Mytilus edulis: one gene and its partners. The protein of the gene in region 3 interacts with the protein of the main gene of each other region in a pairwise test. Links are inferred from orthologs where the notes say so. Each region holds a gene or a part of one and is shown on either strand. Other genes may lie near its edges. The genes, in order: enkurin domain-containing protein 1-like; CWF19-like protein 2; centrosomal protein of 70 kDa-like; ribosome assembly protein METTL17, mitochondrial-like.

Region 1 (7,505 bases), on a different chromosome or scaffold from region 3:
TCAGAAATTTGCAATTGATCTAAATTAAACTGTGGAAAGAATATTCATTGAATCAGCTGATTGCTCATGACAAAGAAACTTAAGTAAGAACTTAGATTGAAAAGTTTTGTCTTTAGCAAAGATAGCAGATTGTAAATGAATGTCACCTGTACTGTTTCTGTCTTCTTTTCTTCTTCTTCTGGTCGCTCATCATCTGAAACTTTATCTTCAAGTTCTTCTGGTTCTTCTGTAACTTTAGTATTTTCTTCATCACTAAAAATGAAAGAAGACCATTTAATATAAACTTAAATCTCTTTATTCCCCTCTTTAAAAAAAAAACCTTGAGAAATTACATCATTATATAATGTCTCTAAAAAGAAAATTCATCAACATTTTTTTTAATTAAATTACTGGTATCTCTTGATATTCAAGGCCATGGTTCATTAACAGTTCTTTACTTCTTAATTAAAATTACATTTACATTTCAAATATCTTTAAAAGTATAAATTTTTAAGAATGTTATAGGCATGACCGCCTTTCAATAGTTGAAGTCAGAGTATTTGGATGAATATTTAATTTACATGGCTGTATAATATATAAACATTGGCATCTGAAAACAATTTAATTTTAAACGTCAAAAAAGTTGAACATACAGAGATGGTGGTTCCTCGTCAATAACGTCTGGATGTTCATCAAACTCCTCGGCCACAGGTGAGATAGGACGTCTAGGGATGATATTTTTAGGTACAGAACCTTGTGCCCAGCAGTCTGTAGTAGCTGCATCTGGTTCTGTAAAACGAAATTAGTAACATATTAGCCTATAGTTTTTGTACCATGTACATTTAATTTATATTGTGATTCTTTTTAAACTTGTTTTCAATTTTGACTATGTTCAGGAATATAGAGACTTGCTGATGGGTATTTACTTACAACTTTACAGTGATAAGTTTATTGAAATAATGCAAGTTTTCATTTTTACAAAACTAATCCTGGTAAGAATACCACAAAACAAGAAAAAGCAATACACAATTTTTTTTTTAAATTTTTTATGAGTTTTGTTCTGCTTTTTTTTAAATATGTTTTTTTTTTCCATTTTGAGTGCTTTATGTATGATTGGTAAAAATCTTTTTGTTAAATAATTCATTCAGAAATCAGAAAATTGTTCAACACATTTACATCTTTGACTATTATTCTATACCTTCATCTTCTATCCATCCTTCTCCAGTTGATTCAAGTTCTGTCTCTCCTTCATCTCTAGATAAAAATTGCCACTACAAAAAAAAAGAGAGTATAATAGAAGGCAGCAATAAAAAACACTAGCCTCAGTTACATATCATTTACAAAAAATAATGAAACATTATTAGGAATAGGAAAGTCAAAACCAAAATGAAACTTGTTTTTGTTGAAGCTATCAACTGGTCACTGACATATCAAATAGTCTATTCACTAATTCTACAACTGACCATGTATTAGAGATGTATATATATGTACAAGTTGTTTCCCTTATAGGGAAAAAACTCACATTTTCATTTCAATAAGCAGCTGGAGGAATCGCAAGTTTTAGCTGTGCATTATAATGTGTGTATGTTTACAAATCTATAAATAACATTTAATCTTTTGTTAAGATAAAAACTGTTGATATCAATAGTTATTTGTTATGTTGATTTATAGGAAATGTATGGTTATTACCTCTATAACTTGAAGGATAGCATCCTTTGCCATGGTAACAGTGAATGGTAATAACTGTCTATCTAAATATAGTTTATATATTTTATCTAGTGATGTATCAACAATTTCTTCCACAATATCCTCAATGAAGTCTTCTGCTCCATCTTTATCCAACATCCAGGTCCTTAAATTACAAAAATTAACAATTATGGATCTACACTTTCATGCTTTTTTAAAATTCATTTTGAGAATATTATTTTAATTACCCATGATTTCTTTTCCAATTTCAAATTTGAATATGAATTATTGCTGATTTAAATAAGTTTTTGTATAATTTTTGTTTGAAAAACATTTTATTAAAAAAAAATGAGGTTCTCAGTTATTTAATCCCATAAAAAACACTTTTGTATACAAAGAAATTCAAGTATTCTCAGCATACCTGTATATACCTTAATCAATAAGAATTATACTGCCATCAACATAAAAACTGAATCAGAAAATACATGTACATTTTGTATATATATTACCAATATGATAATAACAATACTATGATTATTTATCATTAGTTGCATTGAGCACAGCATGCAATAGCAAGGCCATCACAAATAATGTGTCATGTTTTATATTTCTTAAGTCAGGGAATTAAAATAGAAATACAACTTTGGTGATTTCATGTACTTTTGGGTCCTTTTTGGGGGATATTATATGATTGTTAGTATTACAGACAAACCAGAAAATACAGCAACAGCATTTTTGTTAGACAAACTACATTTGTTACCACTAGTGGGGAAAAAAAATGTCTCAGGTCAATTTTGGGTTAATTTGAGGTTTATAAAATATATTACACAATAAACCTGTGTAAATAGTCACAGGTTCTTTCAATTGAGATGGCAGGTCACGTAGTTGCTCTCCAAGGTGTCGGGTCAGATTTGACAATGAAGAGAGCCACATATTTTTTCATGATTCAAATGTTAAATTTCTGGTAAACACTTATGCATGGAATTGCTATACATGTATACTTTCCTGTACAATTTCAAATAACCATAACTCTTAAAAAAAAATCAGGAAAATGTAGCATTATATATATATCATATGGAAGTCTTTGCTCGATCAGAACATGCTCAAAGAACACATGAATTAGGGCTTTTTGTGTAAAATAAATAAATAACGTTTCAGTAACTGATTATAAGTTATTGTGTGAAATAGATATGGACTGCATGTCTTCTCTGAGCATGCACTTAAAACAAAAAAGAGTATCCTATTTAGAACTTTCTTTTTTGAAGACAACCAAAGCAAAATGACTCTTTCAAGCAGGGTTGTTTTAGGGTTCATGTTGCTCATCTTCAGTATCTTGTGAACTTTACATTGTCTGAACATTACTCTTTTTTCACTTTGGCAATGTCTGTCAATCATTAGAGGTTTTTTTATTTAGCCTGACCCTTTTGGTATATAAAATCTTACTGTTTGGTCACTGTATGAACTCAGCTTTTGCTCAATTTTCTTATTTACTTCCAATGTGGACATTATATATTATTATCACATATAAATGTCAATGATTTCAAAGACAAACATTCAAACATAATTAATATTGAACAAAACAAAACAAAGTTAACAATTTTAAACTGTGTTAAATAAATAAAGAACCAGCACAGTTCAGCAAAATTTGTAACATTATGTCATACTTACCGAGCCCTATTAGAGGGATAAAATTTTAATACAATGAGTTTTTTGTGTTTACTCAATATATGTGGTTATCAATGTATTCTTTGGTAATCAATTCAGACCAATCAATAATTAATTCAGGTCAACTTCAGAACATGCAATTTGATTTCATAATATTTTGTATTGTTTTAAACTTTGAGCTCTACCTTCGTTTTCCTTAATATATACATGTAAATGCAGTTTCCGTAGCCCTTAACCAGCAAAAACCAAATTTTCCTATCTTTGGGTGACCTACATTTTTTTGTAATTAACTTATTTGGAACCCCTGAACTCATGCAACAGAAATGAGACAAGCCCACTACTACAAGACTACCGAAGTTTTAAAGGTACAAATTTTAATGATTTGTAAATTTGGTATGAGTTAACATGCCATGGTAAGATTGATTTAACTTGTAAGTGGGGATTTATCAGTCGAAAACCCTTTCAAATTGTTAAAAAAATTTATGTAAAACAGTCGTGGGTTTAATAACCGCAAATTTTTGCAATTATCCTCATTTCATGACTTTACGTGCTATAAACATGATTAAAATATGCATTGTGACGTTATAATTTCCGTTGAAAAAACATGCGTAAAACGAATTCATATCATATGACGGTCATTGACGTACCGAAACATATAATCTGACCATATATATATAAGTCACTGACTGCGGATCTTAATGTGCATTTAAGTTTGAAAAATTTATACAAACCAGTCCTGATCATTGAATTTTCCTGGTACAATTTCATGAGCAACGACTGGAGTGTGGGCTGGAGCTGGTTTTGAGCCCTTGTCAGCCCGAGATTTAGATACTGCAGCTCTTGACATTGTTTCTACAGCCGGATTTACTTTTTCTTATATTCAGAACACTATCAGACACTTAAAAATAGCTACATATTTCGCAGTTTAGAATATCTAAACACTTTTTCTATTTTCGGGCACTAATATTTTTTATAAACCGGATGTTTGAGTTTTCATGGAGACGAACAGGTATCGTAATTTCTCGAGTCAATATTTAAAAAAATTCAAGTAATGACACAATTACATTGAACATGAAAATAAAAATCCCGGTTATCTTTATATGAAAATTAAAAAAAAATAATTCAGAAAATATTGAAAATTCGAACGTCACGTGATCGAAACAATTTACAATGGAGTCCTGTCAATAGTTTACCTTGTCAACACACGTTTTGGCCATTTGAGAAACAAAACATCAGTTTATCGCAAGTGAGAAGAAGGAACAGAGTATAGTTATTATGTAAGACATGCAATATGCAACCCATTCTCACCATTGTGATGCAGCAAGCTCTAAATGACAGAGCTCGTCCAAGTCCGAATCTGACTGCAGCAAACCCATAATTTCTGAGTGATTCTTGAAACGTCACAATGCATTGAAAAGACCATCAGAGTTCGGCATTAGTTCAAACAGTTCGGTGTTAACATTTGTATAACAGCACTTGTGTCTATGACATCAAAGATCAGCAAATTAATCTTGTTATTTAGACTGGATTTTTTTTAAATTTATTTGTTTGGGTTTTTCTTTAGAAATACCAGATCTTCCCTAAGAAGTATATAAACATATTAAGTTGTATACCCCTTATCCCTAATCACGGCTGACCTGGCTGCTTGCAATTTTGACGCATTCAACAATCACTTTTTCATTGTGGCATCAGATATTTTGTTTTATGACATCAAAATTTTACATGAACCTGTGTGATATACAGTACAGTAATTGCGGACAAATAGCGATAAGGAGTATTTTGCAACAGAATGACCTTAGATCTATCTCCCTATCACCTTTGACGTTAAGGCTTAAGCAACAATCACTTTTTAATTATGACATCAAAGTTTTGAATTATGATGTCAAAGTTTACTGAAACCTGTGTGATTTTACGTAATGACAGATACAAATGGAAGTTTTTAACAACCTTGACTGGCTATATAGCCCTTGCACGGTCTGTAAGGGCAGATAAATTTGCATACAAGCCAGTCAAGTGTCAATATGTCTATTGTTTAAACACCTTATCGCTACATTTTGTATTCCCATCTGACCTGTCAAAATTAATCTGCACCGCTTAAACTATTGACGTCATTCAAGAATCACCTTTACCTTATGGCATCAGATATTTTACAGTTTTTGAGTTATGCCCCTTATAAACATAAAAATTTCTAAATTTTTTTGTATTCTATGTTCTGAATTTTTAGTTTCCGTTCACCTTATTATTTATGTTTGCCTTTACCAAATATTATCAAACTTATACTCAAAGTCACAATCATGACAATGCTTATTACCCAAAATACAGATCAAATTTATATTCTGGTTCAGTGTTCTCCCCAGGCCGTTTTAGCATTGCGGCATATTTTCAACGTTTATAAATATGCCTGGAACTTCAGTTTTAACTTGCATTTAAACTTTATTCTACATTCCCTTACCTCAACCCTAGGTTTTCAGCATATTTCAATTTGACTGCATAATATGCATAATATGCAGTCAAATTGAAATATGCTGAAAACCTAGGGTGAGGTAAATACACATATGATGTGTATTTACTAATAACCATTCACAAGTCATGTCTCTACGAGATGAAACATAAAGATCATATTGGGGAACCAGTATGAAACTATTAATATCTATTAAAATTATATATCTTCCAAGCATGATTTGTGAAAAAATATTTACATCGTGCAACCTATAGCTTGTTTTATTCAATTACTAACAATTATTAGAATTTGAACTTAACCCCAGACATTTCTGTGAAATCAAAAGAATATTTAATTAGAATATAAAGCCACTGCCAAGCAGTGCATTTCCCACCATCTTTGTCTTGCAACAAGTTGGAAGTGCTAATATGCATTTACATTAGTTATTTCTTTTACATTTGATAGATTATTAGTGTTCTATGAGGTGTGCTGTCCAATAAAGGGACCAGAGTAACAGACAATTGGTCATATTAAATTATATATTTTTATTATTACAAATTGCCTACTTCATTTGCTTTAATATTTTATATCAATCAATTAAATCAAAATCAATCATATTATGTACTTTGTTTAACCTAATTTACTTTACATTATGTCTGAAAATTATATTGTGATTATTCTGCTCATTTTGGGCGCTGTGATTGGCAAATAAAATATTTGTTTGTTTGTTGTTGTTTGCTAAAACTAAGCTTTTGTCTTATTTTTCTTTCAACCCTAGAGTGTTTAAATTTTCCTGTGTGGCGGTGTTTCATATAAAAATGCTACAAGACTTGAAACTAAATTGTATTCTGTCACATCGAATTTATAAATGGTCTGTATGAACAAACTTGGTGATTTTACTGCCAATTTGTATTCTCCCATTTATAGGCCTTTGGGTGATGTCAGATATAAATAATATGTCAATGCAGAGACATACATCATTTGTACATATGTCTCTGGTCGAAGGCATCATCAACATGATCATCCTGATCTACGGATCACCAGAGGCCACCCCTACATGTAAACAATTGTAGGATACAAGTAACCAGGTCCGTTTACAAAAGGAGTAGGTCCAGTAAGACCCCTTTTTGGCCCCAAAATATAGCAGTTAAATTGTTAAAATGTAAACTTTTAGTTATTTATTGGACAGTAGAATGCTTCTGCTACATAAATATGGGCTGTTTTTGACAATACAATGCACATATATCGGGTACTAGCACCATTAAGTCATGCTAAATTACTGAAATCTTCACAATTCTAGCATTTTAGTTAAATTTTAGACAGTTTTCGTGTGAAACGAAAGTGGCCGCATTCGTGTTCATCCTTAATATTGAAATGTAAGTTGTATTTTATGATAATACATAACATATATAATGGTTGAGGATGAACACGGATGCGGCAACATTCATTTTTGACAAAAATCATCTGAAAAGTGTCATTTTTCGGCAGATTTGGTAGATTTTTCATATTTGAGCTTGAATCGGGTTGTTTTTAATGACTAAATCAGTTAAAATCTTTCACATAAATTAATTGATTCAAATGAAATAGACACATAAGTGTTTAAAAAGTGGTCAAAATCTTTCGTAAGATGAACCTGAAATTTGAGGCCAAAATCAGTCCTTACCGGACCTACTCCTTTGTTTGTGCAAACGTTGATAATTTTGCTTGGAACAAACTTTTATTGAATGAACACTGC
Region 2 (7,567 bases), on a different chromosome or scaffold from region 3:
GGAAAACAATCTACCAAAATAATGCCTAACTGCAGGTTTTAGTGACACTATATAAAGGGTGGTGTTATCTTTTGTTCACCCACTTGCTTATCTCTAATAATTTTATTATTGTGTGCATGTTAAATGAATTATCTATATACCTATATATGTATAGATATCCGCATCTTCGCTAACCAATGGTTACGATCCAGAAGCGGGAAGTGCATATTGTAACCCTTGGCCAAAACTTTTTTTTCCATAATTTATTTTTTCATAATTTTTCTGATTTAACATTTGAAGCATTTTAAAATAGTCATACTTTTGATCTGAGTTAACTATTTGAAATATCATTCCAGTCAGCTAAGAGGTATTTTTGAAAAATTAATTCTGTTCTGTCTTTATGTTTGTGTATGTGTTGCTTTGTTTGAATGTAATATATTGTACCTTGTTTTGTGGAGAGGGCTTACATAGGCTATGCCTGTTGCCCAATCCAATTCAATTTATTTGAATAAAATATTGTTTAAACTAAACTAACCATTGGCCAGCAAAGCCGTATAGGCCTACGGCAATTGTAATTATTGTGTATACATCACGGAGAATTCGTTTCCTAATAAAGGCTATCATTGGGTGCACGGGGGATGTGCAAAAAATATGGGTCATAATCATATAGGAGGGGGGAAAAGGTTACGAAATTTTATTTAAAAATGACCCTCCTTTTATAACATCATATATTAAAGGCACTGGCTACGGTTACACGGAAATGTAACAATAAACAATAATAAAAATATTATTGTTACATTGGAGACTAAATGCCGGGATTCATGGTTGGGGAAGGACCTGTTTAATTACGAATGTAACAATAATTATTGAGGCTACGGTTACATTGCGTTATTGTTATACATAAAAAAAAACCAATGTACGATAGGACTAGTAATATGTACTAAATAATAAAAGTTGAGGACATTTATTACATACATTTATAACATACAATTTATTTACTGTAATTTTTTATGTACAATGACAATTTCTACAAATCCAGTAAGTTGTTTTTAAAGTCCGACACATTTTTGATGAACGAAATTACGTCCTCCACGGATACGTGCACATACAGAATTTCTTAGTATTTAAGTTACAGTTAGCAAACTTTGCTTTTGATTATCAATTTGCGTCAAGTTATAAAGCTGTATGAAATGTATGTCTTGATATTGTTTCAGTTTCGTTTTAAACGTATCCCAAGTTTTATTTTTTTCACCATAAACAAAATTGGTCCAAAGTATAATGACAGTAATAAGAGTAGGTGTGCAGTTACTTACTTACTTAATGACAGTCACACTCCGAATCTTGAGTAGTATTTTTTAGAACATCAAAACCATTAATACGTAGTAAAACTATTCAAGTTGTACACCATAATGATTTGTAGCCAGTGCCTATATTAAAAGGCACTGGCTACGGTTACATGGAAATGTAACAATAATAAAAATATTATTGTTACATTGGAGACTAAATGCCGGAATGCATGGTTGGGTAAGGACCTGTTTAATTACGAATGTAACAATAATTATTGAGGCTACGGTTACATTGCGTTATTGTTACATGAAAAAAAGCAATGTACGATGGGACTAGTAATATGTACTAAATAACCAAAGTTTATAACATTTATAACATACATTTATAACATACAATTTATTTACTGTAATTTTTTATTTACAATGACAATTTCTACAAATCCAGTAGTAACTGTATCTTTAAGAACATCAAAACCATTAATACGTAGTAAAACTATTCAAGTTGTACACCATTTGTTGAATAATAATATTTTATTATTAATCAGTATTAAATAACAAGTATTGTTTAGTACATATGAAAGAATGAAGCAATACAACTATGATAGAAGATTTAAGTTAATCAATCTAGCGTACATTGCTGTTTTTCATGTAACAATAACGTAATGTAACCGTAGCCTCAGTAATTATTGTTACATTTGTAATTAATCGGTTCCTCACCCAACTTTGCATCCGGCAATTAGTCTCCAATGTAACAATAATATTTTTATTATTGTTACATTTCCATGTAACCGTAGCCAGTGCCATATTAAAATGCCTTTACGTATGATAACTGTATATTGATTTGGGGCAGTATGATTTACATATCATATATGTCATACTCATATATGAATATGCTACTGGGAATTTTACATTATTAATGGTCAATTGCTATAATTTTAAAGGCTTTAAACTCTATTCATTTGATAGTTCATCACCTTTCAAATAAATTCCCTAACGAACACCGGAAATTTGTCTCCTGATTTGTATATAAATATAGGTCATTCTTACTGAATAGTCATATAACGATAGGGAATGCATTTCAGTTAATGTTTTGTTAAAATGTTTACGTTTTTGAGACAAAAATGGCACACACATACCGGGCGGCAATGCTTACTTTATAATAAACAAATATTTGTTTTGTAATCGAAATAACTTTAAATTAGAAAATACATCGATCTGATTTATAATTTGGTCAAATTAGCATTTTTGATAACACTGTCAATATTTTCATTCAATAATTTTAAATAATTTTACTGATATATGCCTGCTATTTTTTACCGTCGCTACGTTACCTGTTACCTGTTACCTGTACTGCAACTCCCTCCTATGTCAGGAGAACCACCAATCCTAGAATCGGTGTAATATCACTCGCGGTTAAAATCCTCAAGATTATGTTTAAAAGATATATAAAACCTTTAAAACTATAAAAGAGATATTAATTTATCTCCTCTGGGGGATGTGACCCTATCACCAATATTTACATTATTCTGGTATGCATAAAAAGTCATCCATCATTCAAATATAAAAGTTGCTTCTTTCATATTAAAAACGGTAAAATGTAAATACACTATATACAACAAAATGTTCTATCTTTTGGTATGACCCTTCTTTTCAGCTCGGTATTACACGCTTTTAATCACTGTTCAATTAATATTGCCCGTTGCTGGAATAATTTATGACACAGACCTCTCGATAATGTTTCTATTCTATTCTGTGCATTCTCATTTAAAAATCTAAATTTTGAGCAGTCGATAACTAGCTGACACAAATGTTCGTCATTGGTTATTAATTCTTGGATAAGATCCTGATCCTCTAGGTTTTCTGTCAATACCTCGCCTATCATATGCAGAAAATCATCTCTTATATATTGTAGCTTAGAGCACTTTAATATGAAGTGAAGTATATCTTCTTCTTCCTCTGCACATAACTGGCAAATAGGCGACACATGTCCATTGCTAAATTTAGCTCGATGATATTGCAGGTATATTGTCCCTGTTGCTAACTTTGCCTTTAAGGAGGCAGATGTGATGGCATATGGATTTGTGCCACAGCTTTTCCATATGTTATGTATTTTCCCTTCTTTGACATTTTCATAATTTAGGCGAGACAGAGTAGATTTCGATTTTGCTTCACTTATCATTTGTTTTATACAGTGATCATTGACGGTTTTATTTACCAGGTTTTTCCAAAGTTGTTTCCCTGGTGGGTTATCTATAATATCATATGGCGATGGTAGGTCATATATATTGGCAATTTCAACAGTTTTTGTAAACCAGCTACCAGATTGTAGAGATTTTGTTGCTAGCTGTCTGATAGCTAATTTTCTTTCAATTGAGTTTTCATTTCTTATGATATTTCCAAAGGTTTTCAGTATTCGTTTATGTATTTCTGATTCAATGGTAATCCGTCCGAGAAGAAGATGTGAAGCTACGTTTGCAGTTCTGTCTGGCAGGTGTTGAATTTGTCGCAAGAGTTTTCGAAAATAAGTGGAGAGGTTTTTCATGTCTTCAGTAGTAAGTGTGATGACATCGAGACCATATAACAATCGAGGTAGAACGTATGTTTGAATCAGATGAATTGCAGCTTTTGGGTTTACTCCGTTAAGTCCGTGAAGACCTGCACCCATCAGTGCATATACTGTTCTCCTTGCTGTAATGATCCGTTTTTTTACGACAAGTTTTGTGCCTGTATTTGAGGTATTGTCCCTCTCAATTCCTAGATGTGTTGATGACGTTGGGGTAGCCATAAGTTTGCCATTTAAATGCCAATTACATTCTGAAGAATCGTTAAAGGTAAGTACCACAGACTTTTGTTCACTTATTTCGTATCTGTTCTTGTTTGCAAAACTCGATTGGATATCCAGCATGGTCTGAAGTTCATATGGGTCGGTTGTAATTAATGTGACATCATCAGCAACAGTTGGAATACCACAGTATATTGAGCCAATGGTGGCTCCGATTTGGTTTTCTTCAAATGTTGTTAGTAGGGAGTTGACGAATATTTTATATGCTGACGGGGACCATATTCCTCCTTGTCGTACTCCTTGTTGTTCTATGATTTGATGGGAGAGTTCTCCTTTCCATTTAACTTTTGATGTCAATTCTGTATACCAATTTTCAAAAAATAGCCAGTTGTTTCCCTCAAGTCCTGTTTTGTGCATTTCTCTTAGGAGTCCTAAATGCCATAGTATATCCGGCTACGTTTCCGGAAATGTTTTTTTTTGTTCCGTCAATTGTTCTTTATTTTACCTTATATACTTTTCAATCCTCTACGTTAGAGAAGATGAGTGCTATTGCATTTGAGGGAAAACGGTACTATTTATTCTGCCATAGGCGACAATGTTCACATTTTCTAAATTTACCACTTTTTAAGATAAAAACCTGGATAAAACAGCTATATGTTGTGATAGTACTTTATTACTCTGTTTTAAAAATTAAAGCCAAATAGTATCATGACCAACTTCCAACGGAGCTTGTTTATGTTATCCATGCCCACCGTCATTTTGCACCAAATTTATGAAATTTTGCAAGTCTTTTCGAATAATTCTCTAGAAAATATTTCATTAGGTTTTAAAATTTACATTGTAAATATACACACTGCAGTTATTCATAGATAAATAAAAAATATATTGTACCCTTACATCCAATCACAGCGTTCCTAATTTGACTTCCTTCACCTGCCTTGGGTACACAAAAGGCCAACCTAATGCTGGGAAAATTAAATACTACCGTTTTCCCTATACTGTGACATAAAGATATAAAGAATTCTTATGACATTATTAATGCAATACTGGGCTATTGTGAAAACCTTGGCTATAATAAATACTTGTATGTCTCCAGTACATAAAGAAACATAGATCATTTTATGTCCCCACCCCTACATGCTGGTTTACCTCATTCTCTACTTCTTTCAGAAAAGCCTTAATAAACAACCTGTATCCAATCATATCTTATCTTATTTAAAAAGAATGATAAATAGTTCCATTTAAACAGATAAAATGGACAGTTCCATTCAATTTGTATTCATTTTATCAAAAATTTACAAGAAATGCACAAATTCAAGATTTTTCATACTAATCTCCATTCCATGCTTTAGTATATGCCATATTGTGGTTAAAAATTTTAGAGCTTGTTATAAAATCTATTATTCTGTCTTGAGATGATGAAAACAAAGATATTAGACACTTTAAACATTAAATATGCAAACTACTCAGCTGTAAAGTTGTCTTTGTTGCCTGTATTAATCAATGAAAAAGCTGAATTATGTCCCTTGGGAGTATTAATTTCCAACAAAAGTCCTTTCAAACAGTAGGAAATGAAAAATTATTTATGTCTGATGTAATAAAAGAAAGAAACTACAAAATGAAGCACTTTTGAAATATTTGCTGCATGCATTATCAAGAATGTGAACAATTCTTTACACAGGAGAGTATAAGTTCTATGTAAATTTAGCCTCAAGTGGGCCTCTTTTTTCTTAGATGAACAATTCTAACACTGAAAATGCTTTCAATGTGACCAAATATTGCCTAATTCCATAAACAGTACAAACTAAACCAGACAATTTCCCATCTTAATAGATTATGTTTACAGAAATACCCAAGTTATACATTTAGGGAATTACGCAGCAAAAAAGGCAAACATTTCAGTAAAAAATATTTGTCGCGACTTGAATTCTGGTGTTTCCAATTGAAAAAATCATTGCGAAAGGTGAAATCAAATACAAAAGAACTATAATATGGTGCATTTTACACAATATAGTTAATATTGACATCCTAGAATAAAGTTTTATATCATTACCAGTCAATTTGACCTATCATGATGACTCAGCACTTTTCTAAACACAGTATTGTTCTCAGTGAAAAATTTCTATTCTTTGTGATAAAAATCAAATGTAATAATCAAAAGCTTCAAAATAGTATAAAAGAATTGAAGTTTGAGTGACTTTGATTTCCCTTGCTATCTTCAGTATAGGGAAAACGGTACTATTTATTCTGCCATAGGCGACAATGTTCACATTTTCTAAATTTACCACTTTTTAAGATAAAAACCTGGATAAAACAGCTATATGTTGTGATAGTACTTTATTACTCTGTTTTAAAAATTAAAGCCAAATAGTATCATGACCAACTTCCAACGGAGCTTGTTTATGTTATCCATGCCCACCGTCATTTTGCACCAAATTTATGAAATTTTGCAAGTCTTTTCGAATAATTCTCTAGAAAATATTTCATTAGGTTTTAAAATTTACATTGTAAATATACACACTGCAGTTATTCATAGATAAATAAAAAATATATTGTACCCTTACATCCAATCACAGCGTTCCTAATTTGACTTCCTTCACCTGCCTTGGGTACACAAAAGGCCAACCTAATGCTGGGAAAATTAAATACTACCGTTTTCCCTTGAAAGCACAACAGACAAAAAGACTAAAAGAAAGGAAATACAAGAAGCCAGGGATTATTTAGTTTCCAAAGTAATTTCAGATAGAAAAGGGGTCCACGTTTATGTAGTTTTCGCCCCAACTTATTCGCCAATGAAGCAAGATTTCTCTAAAATTATTTAAAGTCTATTTTTTTATAGCCTCTAGGGCAAGACAAACACACCATACAATAGACAACTTTCGAGTTCGATGCATTTCAGTTTTTAGGAACAGTCCATCATTTAAGGTATATCCCTCATTGAAGGAAGGGGGGGGGGGGGGGGGGGGGGGGGGGGGAGATGTAACCCAGATAATCCCTTTTGGAAATTCAATTTCAAGAGCTATTTCTTTATTTGCCCAAATCTGATAGGTTTTGTGCTACAAATGTTTATGTCTGTTTTGCATTATTCATTTTGAATCTTAATTTAAGGCGGACCTGGGTTTATAATTTGTCTCCTCAAATGAGTAAGTTACACTGCAGATTACTACTGAATACTGCAATGTTGTATTCAGTGTTATGTAGAGGGTGTTTCAACCCTATTTGATTGGAAATTTTTAGGATATAATTGTCCACAAATATTTTCATGAGATTTTATATTCCCTTTAATGGTATACGTAGTACGCCCTTCTTTATAAATTCCCAGATCCACCCCTGATGTGTGTATTTTTAACATTGATATATATATAGCACAACTACTGTATAATGGATGTCCGAAAACTTTCCTTCAAGGCTAAAAAGGAGTATGAAAAAGAGCAATGGAAAAAAGAACAAGCCAAATTAAGAGGAGAGGATACATGGATGCTTCCAGCATTAAACGAGAGACTAGAAAGGGAACAAAAGG
Region 3 (7,478 bases):
TTCATCAAAAACTACATTGACCAAAAACGTTAACCTGAAGCGGGACAGACGGTCGGACGCACAGACCAGAAAACATAATGCCCCTCTACTATCGTGTGTGGGGTATAAAAAACGAACCACAACAACAGCTAGTATAGAAACTTAAGAAGTAGTAGCAGGAATTCTTCCACTGGACCTCAAAAGAAAAGAAACCGGTTTAAGGCAAATTGCAAAAATAAAATCATATAAAATCACTATCCCTATTAAACTAATTTTTGAATATTGAAAGAATATAAATGAACCTGAAAAAATAATCTCACCAATTGGAAGAATGGTATTACAGTCTGAAGACATGATGAGGTCAACAGAGATTGATTCTGAGGGTATAGATATAAAAAAAAAGATGTGGTATGATTGCCAATGAGACAACTGTACACAAGATACCAAAAATGACACAGACATTAACAACTATAGGTCACTGTATGGCCTTCAACAATGAGAAAAGCCCATACTGCATAGTCAGTTATAAAAGGGCGTGATATGACAATGTAAAACAATTCAAACGGCAGTGATTTTGCTAGCGATCGTCACTTTCGTAATTTACGAAAGAGTTTTCGCATTGACGAAAGTATTTCAAATCAATTTCGTCACTTAAATTTTGAAAGTGTAAAAAATATTTTCGCATTAAAATACTATAAAGGACTATAAATCTACCTGTTTCTATGTTTTTGACAAGTTTATGACCCTCAGGTAATTAACATTTTCAACAGGTGTTACAAGTTGTGATTACAACTAATCCGATTATCGCCATCAGATGGGTCACTAATCCGTTTATTATTAATAAACCTCATAGTTGACCATCATAATTATTTACTCAGGAAAATCAGTCAGTTGACATTTCAACAACCAGGTGTATATTATAGTTTCGTCATTTAATCGAAATGGTTACCCCCGGACAGTTCGCATTTGAAATTTCAATATTTCTCTAACGATCACAATTTGAAGATCATTTGTCGTAGATTCGTCATTCGAACGCATTTTCGTCATAATTGATATAAATTGCCATCAAAAACTTTCGACAATTTCTATTTAAAATATAGAACTGTATTCAAAACGTCGCGAGTTAAACAGGTGCTTCCTGTACTGTGTGCTACGCATGCGTGGAAGTACTTATGACTATTTATAGACTCTGAATAAAAATGTAAAATACGAAATCATTTAGATCAATTAAACGAGAGAGACAAATATATAGCTCTAACTAAAAAAAATTCAACCGAAAACTGATAAATTCCTGATGAATCCGGACTTTATCATCCACGTGTCACTTCCCGTTTTCGTTTCATTTTAAAACCGAAAGTAGTAAACGTGATCTATTCTTGATTTATTTACAACCTCCTTTCAGTCGTTGTACTCGTTCCAAAAGGATTTTATACAGTTCCAACTTAATAGAAAAGATTTCCAAATATTGATTTAGACTTTTTATAAGGATAATGATTATGCAGTGATATTATCATTGCAAGTTAATTTCTGCTGTGTACCCTTGTTTAAAAAAGAAATAAATCTTAACTTTTGTTGATCAGGAATGTCCTCTGGAACAAACTGAAGAGAAATTGTGAACTAAGTTTCCACATCCCATGTCAGAATCTTTCATAATAAGGGCCAAAAGTCAAATCATATAATACTGTTAGACTGCCAATCATGCCTAAGCCCTTTAAAATCTGACAAAGTCAAAGATGAAGCTAGTAATATAAATCCTTGGTCCCTTGCTGTTACACAAAAAAAAGGTTGATTTTCATAGCGCGCTAAAGTGACTAAAGCCCTCAAAATCCTAGCTTAAACCCTGTAAATCAAACGAGAAATCTAACGGCCTTATAGTATGAATTGGAATTCCGAGGGTTAGCAGCCTCAAAATCACCACCAGAGTATTGGAAAAATCTCAGAAGTTCAAAGTCTAGATCAAAGGAACAAGCTTTTCAGGGAAAGACTATTATTTTGAAAAAATATATCAACTAAAAAAAAATACAACAATAGCTTTCGCTGGTGGCTCCTGCAGAGGAAACCCAGGTTGTGGGCTGGGGAAGCTATTTTAATACCAAGCAGCACAGAACATGTGGAGTTAACACAGCCAGAAAACAACAGAAAAAACACAGAATCCATCAAAATTTTCTCAGACAGCCAATCAGCAATTGGAATTCTAACTTTAAATTGGAAATCGGTTAATTACGGCAACTATTCATGTTATTAAAATTGGTATTTGGCACTTAAATCTGAAGGAATCATTGTTTCCATTGAATGGACCCCTGGACGCGCTGAAATACAAGGTATTGAACTAGCAGACCAACTAGCTAAATAGGCAACACAGGAGGCAGAAAAAAATAGAAAGCATTCCAATAGTCACAAAACAAGATATATACAAAAAGGAGCAAAAGACAGTGTAATGTTAAAACGGCAAAACCGATGGGACAACAGTAGTAAAGGAAAAAGATATTATTCCTCCCAACAAAATGTAAAAAATACACTTCTAAAAGACAAACCATCAACTGAAATGTATCGGATATCAACTAGCTTAAGAACAGGATATTGTAATTTAAACTCGTACAAATCAATGATATGCCCAGCACTCAACAACAAATGCAGCTGTGGACAAAAAGAAACAGTTGACCTTTATCTACTGTATTGTGAACATTATGAGGAGGCTAGAGAGAAACTGTGCTCTGCACTTTACTTCATAACATCAAAACTAACACTTGAATCAGAAGTATTATTAGAAACAACAGAAATAATAGATGATATTCAACATTTGTTAGGGGTTTTTATTAAAAATACTGGAAGGTTCACAAAATAAATAGTTAAGGTTTTATAAGGGTTAATTATTTATTGATTTATTTTTTTATTTATTTTTTTATTTATTTTTCTCTGCGGTGCCACATCATAAATACAAACGTACTAATGAGTTTTATACAAAAGCGACATAAAATTACCAGAGTGATCTAAATGAATCCGGGTCCGTTCGCACACACTCATGTTCGCCCCCTTTCACTTTCGCACCCTACATGTTTGCACCCAAAGTCTGTTCGCACCCTACATGTTCGCCCCCAATTTTAATTGGTTTTGTGTTTGATAACTTTGTAATCAAATTTTTGTCAAGTGTATTCTAATAAGTATAATTGTTGTCATCGTCTCAAAATAAAGTGAGACAGCATTTTTTTGTGTTGAACAAATCTTAATCATGTTTTGGATAGTGTATTGTTAAAAAAATTAATAATCCTTTCTAAATAAAGTGGGATTCTGTCAACGTTTTATTTTGTGCTGAATAACTCTTAATCATGTTTTGGTTAGTGTATTGCTATAACTTTTGTTTCATTGACTTGTTTTAAAATAAAAGGAGATTCTGACTACGTTTTTTTCTTCTGTGTTGAATAAATGTTATCATGTTTTGGTTATAATAGTGTATTGCTATATTTAATTGTGTTATTGTTTCAGGTCAAAGGGACCAAGCTGTTAAAAACAATTATCTTTTGTGTTTTTCATTTAAAATCTTCAAAGTTTTACTCATATTAAGCTATAAATACATTCAGTATTTACACCAAAGCAACTTTAAACAACAATCATAATTTTCCAATTATTCAACTGGAATGTGAATTAAAATTGGGCACGAATGTGTAGAGTGCGAACGGACCTTGGGTGCGAACATGCGAGGTGCGAACGTGTAGGATGCGAAAGTGTTTTGGGCGCGAACGGACCTGATACCGATCTAATACAGAGAGATTATAGTGTCAAGTTGACACTCACTAAAGACTAAAGACATTTTGCACTAATTTTGTACACTGGCAATAGCGTAGTGATGTCAATGCAGAAATTCTTCATGTAAAAAGTACATTTACAAAGTCCTAACAAACTGACATGAATACCGATTATAGACTACGGAGTACGGCAGGATATGACGGCCGGAGAGGAGAACACTGCAACCGCAGAACTGATATATCACAAAAGTTCGTGATTGAGCGTTATTTCTCACAAATGCATTGGGTACTTTGTGTTATATTAAGGTATAGATACAAATGTACACATGTATATGTTACAAAATTCAGAAACATTTGCCTATGACTGTGTGGACAACCTGTCAACAAGGTAGGAGGATTTAAAAACTTTTGCAGAGGTTACCAGCTGGTTACATTTTGCATACAATTAAAATACTTTTACTGTTTAGCAGGTTTAAAAGTTCACTTTACCTTAAAGCATATAAAGGTATAAAAACACAGATTTTAGCGAAGAAGAATGAAACGATCTGCCTGGCAACACTTACACAAAATCCGGGCACTTGTTACTTCGTAAAGCCGCAGTGAATTTCGATCCAGTAATAACTATTTTCCCACTGTTTATACTTTTAAAATATGGTATGAAAAATTTACCTGTTAATTTTATTTTCGAAAATATTTTTTTTTATTGGAATTTCTTCCTTAAATTATTGAGTTTTTGTAAACAAAACAGTGTCGCATATGTAAACAACAATGGCGGCTTTTGGAAACAGATATTTTGAAAAATTGGTATTTGATTGAAATTATTGTACAAATCAATTTTTATATAGCTATAAAATGCTGATTTTGAACATGTTTTATCTAAGAAAGATGGATATTGTAACATATTCTGATAAGTTAACAAATAATCTGATGTCAGTGCCCGCTAAAATTTGAATTTCTTGGCCCACTTCAGGCACTTGCTTGGACATGTTTCCTATCCGTAACTTCGATAACACTTATTATACAGCTATGAAATTATTTTATTAAGAAGTACCTGAACGTTGATCGACATTATGCCTCGCAGAGTAAATATTTCACATTTGAATCACATTTTTACATTCTAAAAAATCAACAGAATTATAAATTTAATGTAACTCAATGCTACTGTAGTATACTGTGCAGTAGGTGGTCACTTACTAATGAAAATACACTTTGTCATTTGTGTAGTCCTTCTTTAAGTCAATAAATAAAAGTTGTTTTGACTTTATTCGGTCATTCTTGCAGGTATATACATTTTATTTTGATATTGAAATGATTTTTAGTGCATTTTTCATGATTAAAGGTGGCATTAACCCTCTTGCTGCCAAAGGGACATTTATGGCTTCTACACACAAATCTTGTTGATTGTGTAGAACGTCAAAGGTTCATTGTAACGTCACAATACTCAGGGGCACTGACAACGTCAAAATACGGCGTCAAAAGGGCGATTTTGGCGGGAATGAAGCAAACTGAATAAAATGCTTTAAAAGGATACTTAAAACGGATGTCAAGAAATGATACAGGATCATAAGCTTGTTAGTACTATAATACCAACTTATTTAACGTGTTAACTAATTATCTAGTTCGTCATTTTCATGTAAAATGTTGCATTTTGTCGAGAAATTTACGTTTTTTTTCGTACATCTATCAATCAGAATATCTCATATAAAGAAAAAATCTTATCCCTGATAAAAAATCATAAAAAAGATAACTGTTATACTTGATGACGTTAAATATTAATAATCATTCACAATACTCCATACACGCTTTATTTAAAAGAACTAGATAATTTATTTAGGGCTCAAATACTACGATTGACATAGGATTTTTTTTGTAAAAGTACACACATGTTAACCGATGTACTTGTATTGCCATACGATATTTCAATACATTTTAAACCTGTTTCATCAAGGAAGCACTGCCTTAAAAATGTTTATTTTCATTCGAAATGGGGATGTTAAATTAGAAGTAGACACAATGATTTCCATTCCTATCATATATATCATAGATGTCCATTCCCAGATGCAACCTCTTTTTTCTGGCATTCACCACAGATCTTTTACTTTGTAGGACTGCTGTTCAAAACTCATAAATCTATGGACAAAAAACAAAATCGGGGTAACAAACTAAAACTGAGGGAAACGCATTAAATATTAGAGGAGAACAACGACACAACATTAAAATGTAACACACACAGCAACGGACTAAGCATTAGACAACATCCGATGAGAACAATTTATCAATTAACAGATGCTCGGAGATTTTATTTATTTTTATGAATTTGCACACGCTTTGTTTATATTTTCATTTTCATTGAGTGCCGTTGTTTTGCCGTTTATATATGATTTGAGAGATTTTTTTACAGTATTTATACCAATTATCTAATAAAAAAACGAGAATAAATATTTTACTATTTTATAAGTGGTTAAGAATCATTTATGCATTTCACTTGACAAAGATAAAACAAAGTCGCCTTTAAAGCTAGTATAGCAATCGGTATATTATTTTCACTTTATTTTAAGACAAGAAAGATAAAAAAAAATATATTACAAGGTTAAAAGTTGTATTTTTAAATAATCTTGTATTAAAAACATCGTTTATGACAATCTTGGAGCATATTTAATCTGTAAAATTACTTATACATCGTTTTCATAATTACGGCTACATTGACGCAGGAAAAATCATGGACGGCGGGAAAGCGCAGTTCTACAGAGAGGCACAAGTTTTGCAACGTCACACATAAGAAACTTCAAGATGCTTTTGGCGCGACAAAGCAAGAAAAAAACTCGGCAGCAAGAGGGTTAATGCACACACATACTGTATGTAAAAGTGACTGTTTACATTCATTTTGAAATGTTTATCTATGCTATTATCATCACATGAATTGGGAAAACACATTCAAATTATGAATATGTTGATAAGGTCGGTAGCATGAAGCTCATACAACTTACAATACAGCTTTTAATTATTTGTTGTTTTGAAACATTCAAGCTAGTTTCCATCATCATCAAGGTTTCAAGTTATGTCCTTCACCAAAAAAGTTTCAATTATACATGTATATGCATGCATTTATGATGTCATTTACCTAATAAAGGGAATCATGTGCCTGTATTCCTGAACTTTTATAAAAGTTCATCAAGGGTTTAGTAAATGTCATTATGCAGGATAAAGTACAAATAATGTTTGCTTTGTAGGTACTTATCACCCACTCTCTTAACATGGGACGGAAGTGATAATGCTCCAAAACGCATGAAATTCATTCAGAATGATGTTCACTAAAACCAAAGTTTTTTTATGGAAATGCAAAGAACTTGAAAGTGGTCTATAGGTTTCCTGTACAAATATTACATTCCTTTTGAGAAAATGTCCAGGGGTTTGAAGAGGAGGTTTCAGTTCTGGTAGCTATGTCTTGATAACCTTGCATCAAAATGTAGCAGTTTTTATATACATGTGTCTAACAAAATGATTGCCATCATCAACTAAGAAGACAATAATCCTAATATCATGTCCAACAGTAAAACTATTAGCAGCTTTTATACTGTCTGACATGGACATTAGGTCATGCTCCTTTGGATTTGTCAGCCTAAAAATCAGATATATTAGGCCAAAAGATCAGATAGATTAATAAGAAACCTCTTTTATTGTCAAAATTTAATCTTTATATATTGTAAAGTTGAAAACTTATTTGGTATTTGTGTGTGTGATTAAAACTGTTATGCT
Region 4 (7,750 bases), on a different chromosome or scaffold from region 3:
AATGATGTGAACACATTTGTTTATCTGATATATATATCAGAAATACAATATCAGTTAACATGGTAAAGTGTGTGTTTCCAAAAGTAGACAAGTATCGTTAAAATATAACATAAAAACAAGCTATATGTAGACTGTTTAACATGATGTTTTCGATCATATAACTTTTGATATGAAGATAAGAAGATTATTGGGTGAGGTCTTTCTGAAGTTTTCCAGAGCTTTGCCTACTTTTAATACTACTTAACTAAGGTTCTGCAATGCTGCTATAAATTTCTGAAGATAAATAAATAAATTAAGCTTTATAAAATAACTCCTATAAAGACTTACACACCATTCAGCCAGATCTGATCTTTTGTAAAGTTTGGACAGGCAGCTATTGTAGTTTTAGTCCTCAGCTGAAAATAAAGTGTAAAATATACATGTAGAGTACAGTCAGATCTGATCTTTTGTAAAGTTTGGACTGGCAGCTATTGTTGTTTCAGTCCTCAACTGAAAATAAAGTGTAAAATATACATTTGTACATGTCGATTACTGTGGATTCATTTATTTTCGTGGGTACCAATTTTCATGGTTTGAGGAAAATTTGCATATTCGTGGATATTTAATTTCGTGGTTTTGGCAAAGTCTGCACACATTACTTTAGAAAATTTGTAATTCGTTGAATATCTAAATTCGTGGTTCTCCTGTACCCACAAAACCATGAACATGATGAAAATTAGTATCCAACGAATATAAATGAATTCACAGTATTTTTTTTACTATTCATGAAAATACTATTTTCAAAAAATCTTTCACAATTTTATAATTTATTTCCTGCCAAAAACCATATGAGTATTTTCAACAGATGTAAATTACCAACAGTTGATAGTGTTGTGTTATAAGTATTACATGCAAAAAATTTTTTTATTTCAAGCATTGACATTCATTTTTTTAATTTTTAAAATGTTAGATTTTCATATTCATGCATCATGTGCATAGAAACAGGAAAAGACTTTCTATGAAATGGAAATAGCATTATAATCATGATACAACATAGTAATAAGACTATGATTCTGGTTCATTTTCCGATACCAATATTTTTGGGGATTAAAAATAAATAGCATTTTCAGGGATATCATATGGATATCATGGTTTTGCCTGCAGTCTGTATACAAATCCTATAAAAAAAAACTTTGTTTAATATTAAATAAGTTGTTTTTCTATATTACCCATGATATCAATGAATATAGGCAACCCACCAAATCATTATTGAAAAATAATTTGACATAAAAAGAAATTGTCAAGAGGAACACAGCCTGCATTCATGTTAGAAAATGACCCATATTTTCATGACAAATATTCTGATAAACGGTCATGCAGGTTTGATATGAAAAAATACAACTAACTGAGCGAAAGCTGTTGATGTGGAAGATGCTAGATTTGTTCATTTATTAGGTTTATATATTCAACCAATAAGTTAAGGATACAGGTCTATTTGGACAGAAGCTTATAAGAGGGTTTAAAGGGTTATTTTCATGCAACTTTTTTGCCATTTTTATTTCACGTGCAGCTGTGAAAAAGGTTCGTTGTTCACTGTGTTTCATGAAATCAGTAAAAAGATCAACCTGCAACCATTTTTCAATTGTTCGTTCATCGTGAAATGGCTATTTTGTTGGTCTCATTGGGGTCTAAGTGTGACGTGGGATTGCTGATTTTTTTTGTAAGCGTGACACGTGAAAGTCAAATTATTGTGCCGTGAAAACGGGAAATGAAGTCTGGCGGGACACTGGAAATTACAAAAAAATGAGAATTCCTTACGTACATAGTGTAAGCGGGATACGGGAATCTGACACAACAATAAGCGGGATCCAGGATCAGAACCCCCCCCCCCCAATGAGACTCCCAATTTTATTTTGTGTTCTTCTGTGCACATACCCCCCTTTACACCCCTCTTATAACTATGCCAAATAAATAAACATTAGCTGCATATTCACCATGTTCACAATACCTCATTCTGATGAAGTGTCACACTAACTGAAGAGTTCAATGGCAGTATCAATTTCTCATTTCTCTTTCCCCCTGAAATTTAGAAAAAAAAATTATTCATTATACATTTTAAATTATAGGTCATTTTTAAATTATAATTCATTTCCTATTCATTTATTATGATGATCATTTATGAGGTTTTATAATGATAATTAAGGGATTAGTGACCCATCTGATTGGCGATAGGCGGATTACTTGTCATCACAACTTTTAACACCTTTTTGACGAAATTGATATGAAATATTTTCGTCATTTCTAAAACCTTTTCGTAAAATACGAAAGTGACGAGCGCTAGCAAAATCACTGCCTATTGCCTATATTGTAATGTTTTAAAAACAGGCGACCATGTCTAATGATGTCACATGAAAAGAACACAATTTTCCACAAATCTTTGAAAAGGAATGATATTTTTTTAGATATCGTCTACAAATCATTAGAGAATTAGATTTTACTACTATCATGACTATATCATGTGTATAACAATACCTCTCAACTCTCAACAGTAAAATTTTACATATATTCAAAACGCATGACAAGACTCAAAATTTAACTGTCTGGAGTGGAGAAATACTGTAACACACTTGATGCAGTTGTGGAATCTATATATCATGTATATAAATATAAGAAGATGCTGGTTTTTTTAAAGCAATTCTCTATTCCTGATTTTTTCATAAGCTGTATATATTGTTAACATAATTATAACACGTCTAGTGTGTTTATGAAGTTATACATACATGTATGAAACACAAGTGTGCACAAACTGAAATGTATCACCTGCTTTTATAACTGTGTTTGATATTTTGTTGGTACATGTAGTCATACATTTTTACTACAAATATCACATAAACTTAAGTCTTCACATTATCATAATCCATGAAATGAGTCAAGGTCAGATAAACCATTTACCAATACAGACAGACATGTAGTTATTGTACACTTTAAATCTTTTCATATATACTAAATATAGTTTACATATTACATATAGTCATGATACATGTAGTAAACAAGAAAAAGACCAGTGAAACCATGAAATTGTAATATTGAACAAAGAACATGAAGAACAATGAAAAAGAGGTATAACTGAATAATCATGTTTTTATTTCAATTTGAATTATTAATGTATTTTACATTTGCATGATTAAATTGATTGATTGGTGGTTACTTAACGTCCAGTGGCAAATATTTCATGCATGTTTTACATGGTTAACATGGTTTAAGGACATGAACTAATTAACAATTAATAAAATAGGTAGGCCCTGTCACAGCCTCACAGGTGCTTGAGGATAGGATCCTGTATGAGCCCCATATAGTACCTCCCCCTTATTATCATAAATCTCAGATTTTTCGATACATATATCACTTATGTGTACCATATATATACTAATATATCATATTTTTACTATAAATATGCATGTTTACTATCAACGTGAATCTCAACTATAGCGCTCCTGTCCTCAAGCATCTGTGGGCCCTGCTGCAACAGACCTACATACGAGGGGGAGGACAGGGGTAAGGAAGACAGGGAGAAAGGGGTAAGGAAGACAGGGAGAAAGGGGTAGGAGAAAGGAGAAAGGGGGTAGGAGAAAGGAGAGGAAGGCTGGGAGAAAGGAGAAAATGTTTGAGAAAAAAATTAAATATGAAAAAAATTAAATATGAAAAAATCTTTTTTCCGGTAAATTAAAAAAAATAAAATAAGGAGATGAGGGGTAGCAGAAAGGAGAAGAGGGTGGGAGAAGGGAGAAGGGTACCCCCCTGTCCTCCCCCTCACATACCCCTAAAGGATCTGAATTTTCAAGGTAAATGGCTACTTATTCGACCTTTACTGCTTTTGAATAGTAGCACCTGGCCCTTTACATTTACATTAAAACTGCCATTGATACTGTAGTTCCTTACAATATTTAATAACAGCAATATTTACAGGTCCTGTGCAGGTGTCACACTGCATTTCCTGGCTTGTGTAAGATGAAGGAAAACTGCTGAAAGCTTCCGAAAGTAAATATTATTGACCGTGGCCTGTATTTCATATTTTTTTTTTTTTTCAATCATATGGTTTTTCGAGATAACTAATTGCAGATAACCACAAAATTTTCTTTTTTTACGAATTGGTCTTCTCTTGCAGCTGTTTCTGTTTTATTTAATTAATGTCCGTCGTTGTATGTATGTACTGGTAAATGCCTCCGATATCCGAAGAACCCCTCGAAAGCTGCGAGGGTACAGTGGCATCCATGTACACTCCCTAACGGGATTAATGGAGATGTGTCACTAACGTATATTTATACGACAATTATTTTTACAAGGACAACCAATCCCCACCCAATTCAACACAAAGGGAGTGCTAGGACACCGGGAAGTCTGTTATTGTGGTGGAGGAAGCCGAAGTACTCGGAGAGAACCACCGGGCCACTCGGTGGAAACAGACAAACCAGAGAGATATCAGAAGATTGATCTCCAGGTCAAAGTAGGGACACTTTGACCAACCGAGGCCCCCAACGTACCCATTCTAGTTTAAACTCCGGTCTGGGTACCAGAGATGTGTGTGAGAGGGTGAAAATTACCCTTCTAATGTACTGAGATTTTTAGCACCCCGAGTGAGAATCGAACTCGGGACCTTCAGCACTGTAGCCATCGGTCTTAACCACTAGACCACGAACCGTTGTCTTTCTATTTAAATTTTCTTTTATGAAATATTAGACAAAACTTGACTTTCGGTTTTTTCTAGGGTTTTCTTTCCATTCAACTTAGAAAAATGGCAGCCCCCATGCACAGGGCAAGAGTTTCTTCTTGGAAACTGTTTTCTCGACAATATAGAAAAAAATCGACCAAAATCATACACCCATCAGAGGTAAATCATCCGTTTCAAATTTTTTTCACCAACCACGTTAATTTTTATCTTTTTTGCCACCTTAGCTTGAACTCTGAGATTCGTCTGACATTCGGTTACACAATCATGACATGAGGGTCAGGTAATGGGGGACCTTCATGACGAATAACGGTAAAAATTCTTGTCAAATGATGTTAATGGTAATTTTTGGCGCATGACACTTTCTTTTAGACGAGCTAATTTTAACCAATCACAGTAATTTTTTCCCTAAAAATGACGGTAATGATAATTATTTGAAACCTCTAACGAATCGCGAATCACGATAAGGATAATTTGATGAATCATGGTAAAATTTTAACCAATTTGACGCTAACGGTAGCCGAAAATGACCGTTTCACGCCTGATGGTAAAGGGCATTACTACCCTCAATCATGTCATGATGTCCAGCTGAATTTAAATATGAGGCAGGCACAACCTGTGAATGGGGATGAAGTCTGTATGCATTATTTTTTTGAATTCAAACATTGATAAAAGAAACAGAAATACCGTAACGTTCCGATTTTGGTTCGGTTGTTAGGGATTTAGCTGTGACGTAGTCTAGCTGTGACGTTCTTAAAGTTAATATGAGGCAGGCATTACCTGTGAATGGGGACGAAGTCTGTATTAATTTTTTTTTTAATTCAAACATGTTGACTGATAAATATATATTTTATTCAAAGTCTCATGCAAACAAGACCGGAAAAGGAAGTAGATTTTTTGCGCGAATGCGGGGAAAACTGGAACAGGAAGTAGATCTGAAAAAAAAGTTAACGATTTTGAGTTCATTTGTAAAATTTTTCTACCATAATTGGGGACCTCGTCCCCATACAAGTTTTCCTCTATACTTGTTATCTCAATATCTGTATTATTCATACCCCAACACTCCTGACCCAAAGACAGGTCGGACCACATCCACTCTGACCATCTAAAAAAAACAATTCAGACCATATAAGAAGACAACTCAGACTGTCAATAAGACAACTCGGATCGTCTATAAGAACAACACAGCCAAAGTGTTAAAGGAGGATTTAAACTATACATAAATTATTATAAATTATTAAACAATATATTTTAGATTGCAACATCATTTCGCCATGTTACTGACTTTGCAAAAAAAAAACAACACCAACTCGGATCATCTACAACACTCAACATGCTAAATTGTCTATATAGGCATCGCTTCATAGAAAGTCCGAGTTATTGTTATTTATATAAATTGACTGTAAAACTTTCATCAGACATATAGCTTTCACCCTTAAATCATTTATTTCATCAAAAGTCTTATTTTATACTTAGTCTGAGTTGTTATTATAGACGGTCCGAGTTGTCTAATTGACGGTCCACGTTTTCTTATTGACGGTCCGAGTTGTCTTCATAGACTGTCCCAGTAGACTTTAATGGAGACAGTCTTAGTTGTCTCCTGGCCGACTTCTCTTGCACCCGTCCTTGTAAACATTGTTGTAATAAAGTTAATCAAGATAGGGCATGTAGGGAGTGTACACAGATTCTACTGTACCTTCGCAGCTCCTAAACATGTGCCTAAAAGTGGCTTTAAAACACAAAAAATCTTATATCTATGACATTTATAAACAAACATACATTTTTCGCTGCTTTGAAGACCCATTGGTTGTCTTTGGCTGTTGTCTGCTGAGCTATGGTCGGGTTGTTTTCTCTTTGACAAATTCCCCATTTCCTCAATTTTATACAATGTAGGTAACTTCACAGTTAGTTCGGCCATATTGAATAGGGGAGCAAATTTGTTTTCGAAAGAGGTGGAAATGGTTATATATATGAATTTTTTTTTACCTTTTGATAGATAAATGCCTATGGTTTCAGGAAAGGTATCATTCTAATGTATTGAAATTTTAAAAATATTTTGGTTTGCCCAAACCCTACCCAAACATGGAGACAGTTAGGTAGGTAGGCATTTTCTTTTTCTTTTTTTGACAAAGAGAAATTTAAGTATTGGACATCATGGACATGTTGGATGTTTAGAAGTCTTCATCATATTCATGCATATCTGATTAAAAAAAAATCACATGAGGACAATAAAAGATTTTGAGTCTGCAGCTATTTTCTGAGTAGGTAGGGCAAACAAACCTATTCTTTTGTTTGACCCAATTATGGGGACTTTTGTGACATTTTCACACCCTTTTAATTATTTTTGCAATATTTTGTATCAAATAAATGCAGATTGTTGCTATATTTACACCAAAAAGAGAATTTTTCACCATTATCACTCTTGCTCTTTCAATAAATATACACATATATATAAAGCCTTATTTTTCAGAAAAGAAGGAAAAGAATAGTGGTTAAAAATTATGAGTGTCAATTTATAGTTTTTTTCCTAACTGTGTATTACTAATTTTATGACTGGTCAAACCGAAACGTGGTAAATCATCATGATCATGATTAACATTCATTGACACTATGTTGCTAGTAACCTACTGAAGGCTTTTTTGTTATGGCCCCGCAACAAAGTTGTCAGGGACATTTAGTTTTACCCTTGTCCGAAATTCTGTAATTCCGAAATTCCATAATTCTGAAATTCCGTAATTCCGTAATTCCGAAATTCCGTAATATTGAAATTCCGTCATTCCGCAACAAACCATTATACAGGTTTTTTTCTAAACAGCTTTAGATATTGGACTTATTTTTGGTATGTGAGTTAACCATGATGAGTTACAGATCAAGTTTGAGTTTCGTTCCGCTTCACTAGTTTTTGTCGAAATTACGGGCTTTGGACTGAGAAACTGTTGAAAATCTCAGCTATATGGTTTTTTTTAAGGCCTTTAGATTTTGAGCAGATTTAGTATATGTGAGACTACCATCTTGTTAGTGTCCGCATGTGTTGTTGAAATTGCA

Evidence for each region.
Region 1: the proteins of centrosomal protein of 70 kDa-like (region 3) and enkurin domain-containing protein 1-like interact in binary tests that used the Homo sapiens proteins (3 or more experiments, as listed by UniProt). The link is inferred for Mytilus edulis from reciprocal best matches to the Homo sapiens genes CEP70 and ENKD1.
Region 2: the proteins of centrosomal protein of 70 kDa-like (region 3) and CWF19-like protein 2 interact in binary tests that used the Homo sapiens proteins (3 or more experiments, as listed by UniProt). The link is inferred for Mytilus edulis from reciprocal best matches to the Homo sapiens genes CEP70 and CWF19L2.
Region 4: the proteins of centrosomal protein of 70 kDa-like (region 3) and ribosome assembly protein METTL17, mitochondrial-like interact in binary tests that used the Homo sapiens proteins (3 or more experiments, as listed by UniProt). The link is inferred for Mytilus edulis from reciprocal best matches to the Homo sapiens genes CEP70 and METTL17.

Annotation. Positions count from the first base shown.
Region 1 is NC_092352.1:85,469,647-85,477,151, reverse strand, and holds the start of enkurin domain-containing protein 1-like, read left to right. Parts: upstream 1-4,483; 5' UTR 4,484-4,607; intron 4,608-4,638; coding exon of another isoform or gene 4,639-4,706; exon of another isoform or gene 4,707-4,752; intron 4,753-7,505. Other genes in the region: uncharacterized protein C2orf81 homolog, read right to left, coding at 147-252, 633-768, 1,178-1,250, 1,669-1,831, 4,062-4,177. UniProt on the Homo sapiens protein: Microtubule-binding protein which regulates microtubule organization and stability. Promotes the stability of astral microtubules and facilitates the proper orientation of the mitotic spindle.
Region 2 is NC_092347.1:12,299,788-12,307,354, reverse strand, and holds the start of CWF19-like protein 2, read left to right. Parts: upstream 1-4,562; 5' UTR 4,563-4,586; coding exon 4,587-4,615; intron 4,616-6,715; coding exon 6,716-6,779; intron 6,780-7,455; coding exon 7,456-7,566; intron 7,567-7,567. Other genes in the region: uncharacterized protein, read right to left, coding at 2,941-4,464.
Region 3 is NC_092345.1:56,957,639-56,965,116, forward strand, and holds the start of centrosomal protein of 70 kDa-like, read left to right. Parts: upstream 1-4,457; 5' UTR 4,458-4,490; coding exon 4,491-4,526; intron 4,527-4,671; exon of another isoform or gene 4,672-4,792; coding exon of another isoform or gene 4,793-4,804; intron 4,805-7,478.
Region 4 is NC_092348.1:13,935,908-13,943,657, reverse strand, and holds the start of ribosome assembly protein METTL17, mitochondrial-like, read left to right. Parts: upstream 1-4,749; 5' UTR 4,750-4,771; coding exon 4,772-4,867; intron 4,868-7,750. Other genes in the region: diphosphomevalonate decarboxylase-like, read right to left, coding at 328-395, 1,988-2,058, 3,919-3,970. UniProt on the Homo sapiens protein: Mitochondrial ribosome (mitoribosome) assembly factor. Binds at the interface of the head and body domains of the mitochondrial small ribosomal subunit (mt-SSU), occluding the mRNA channel and preventing compaction of the head domain towards the body.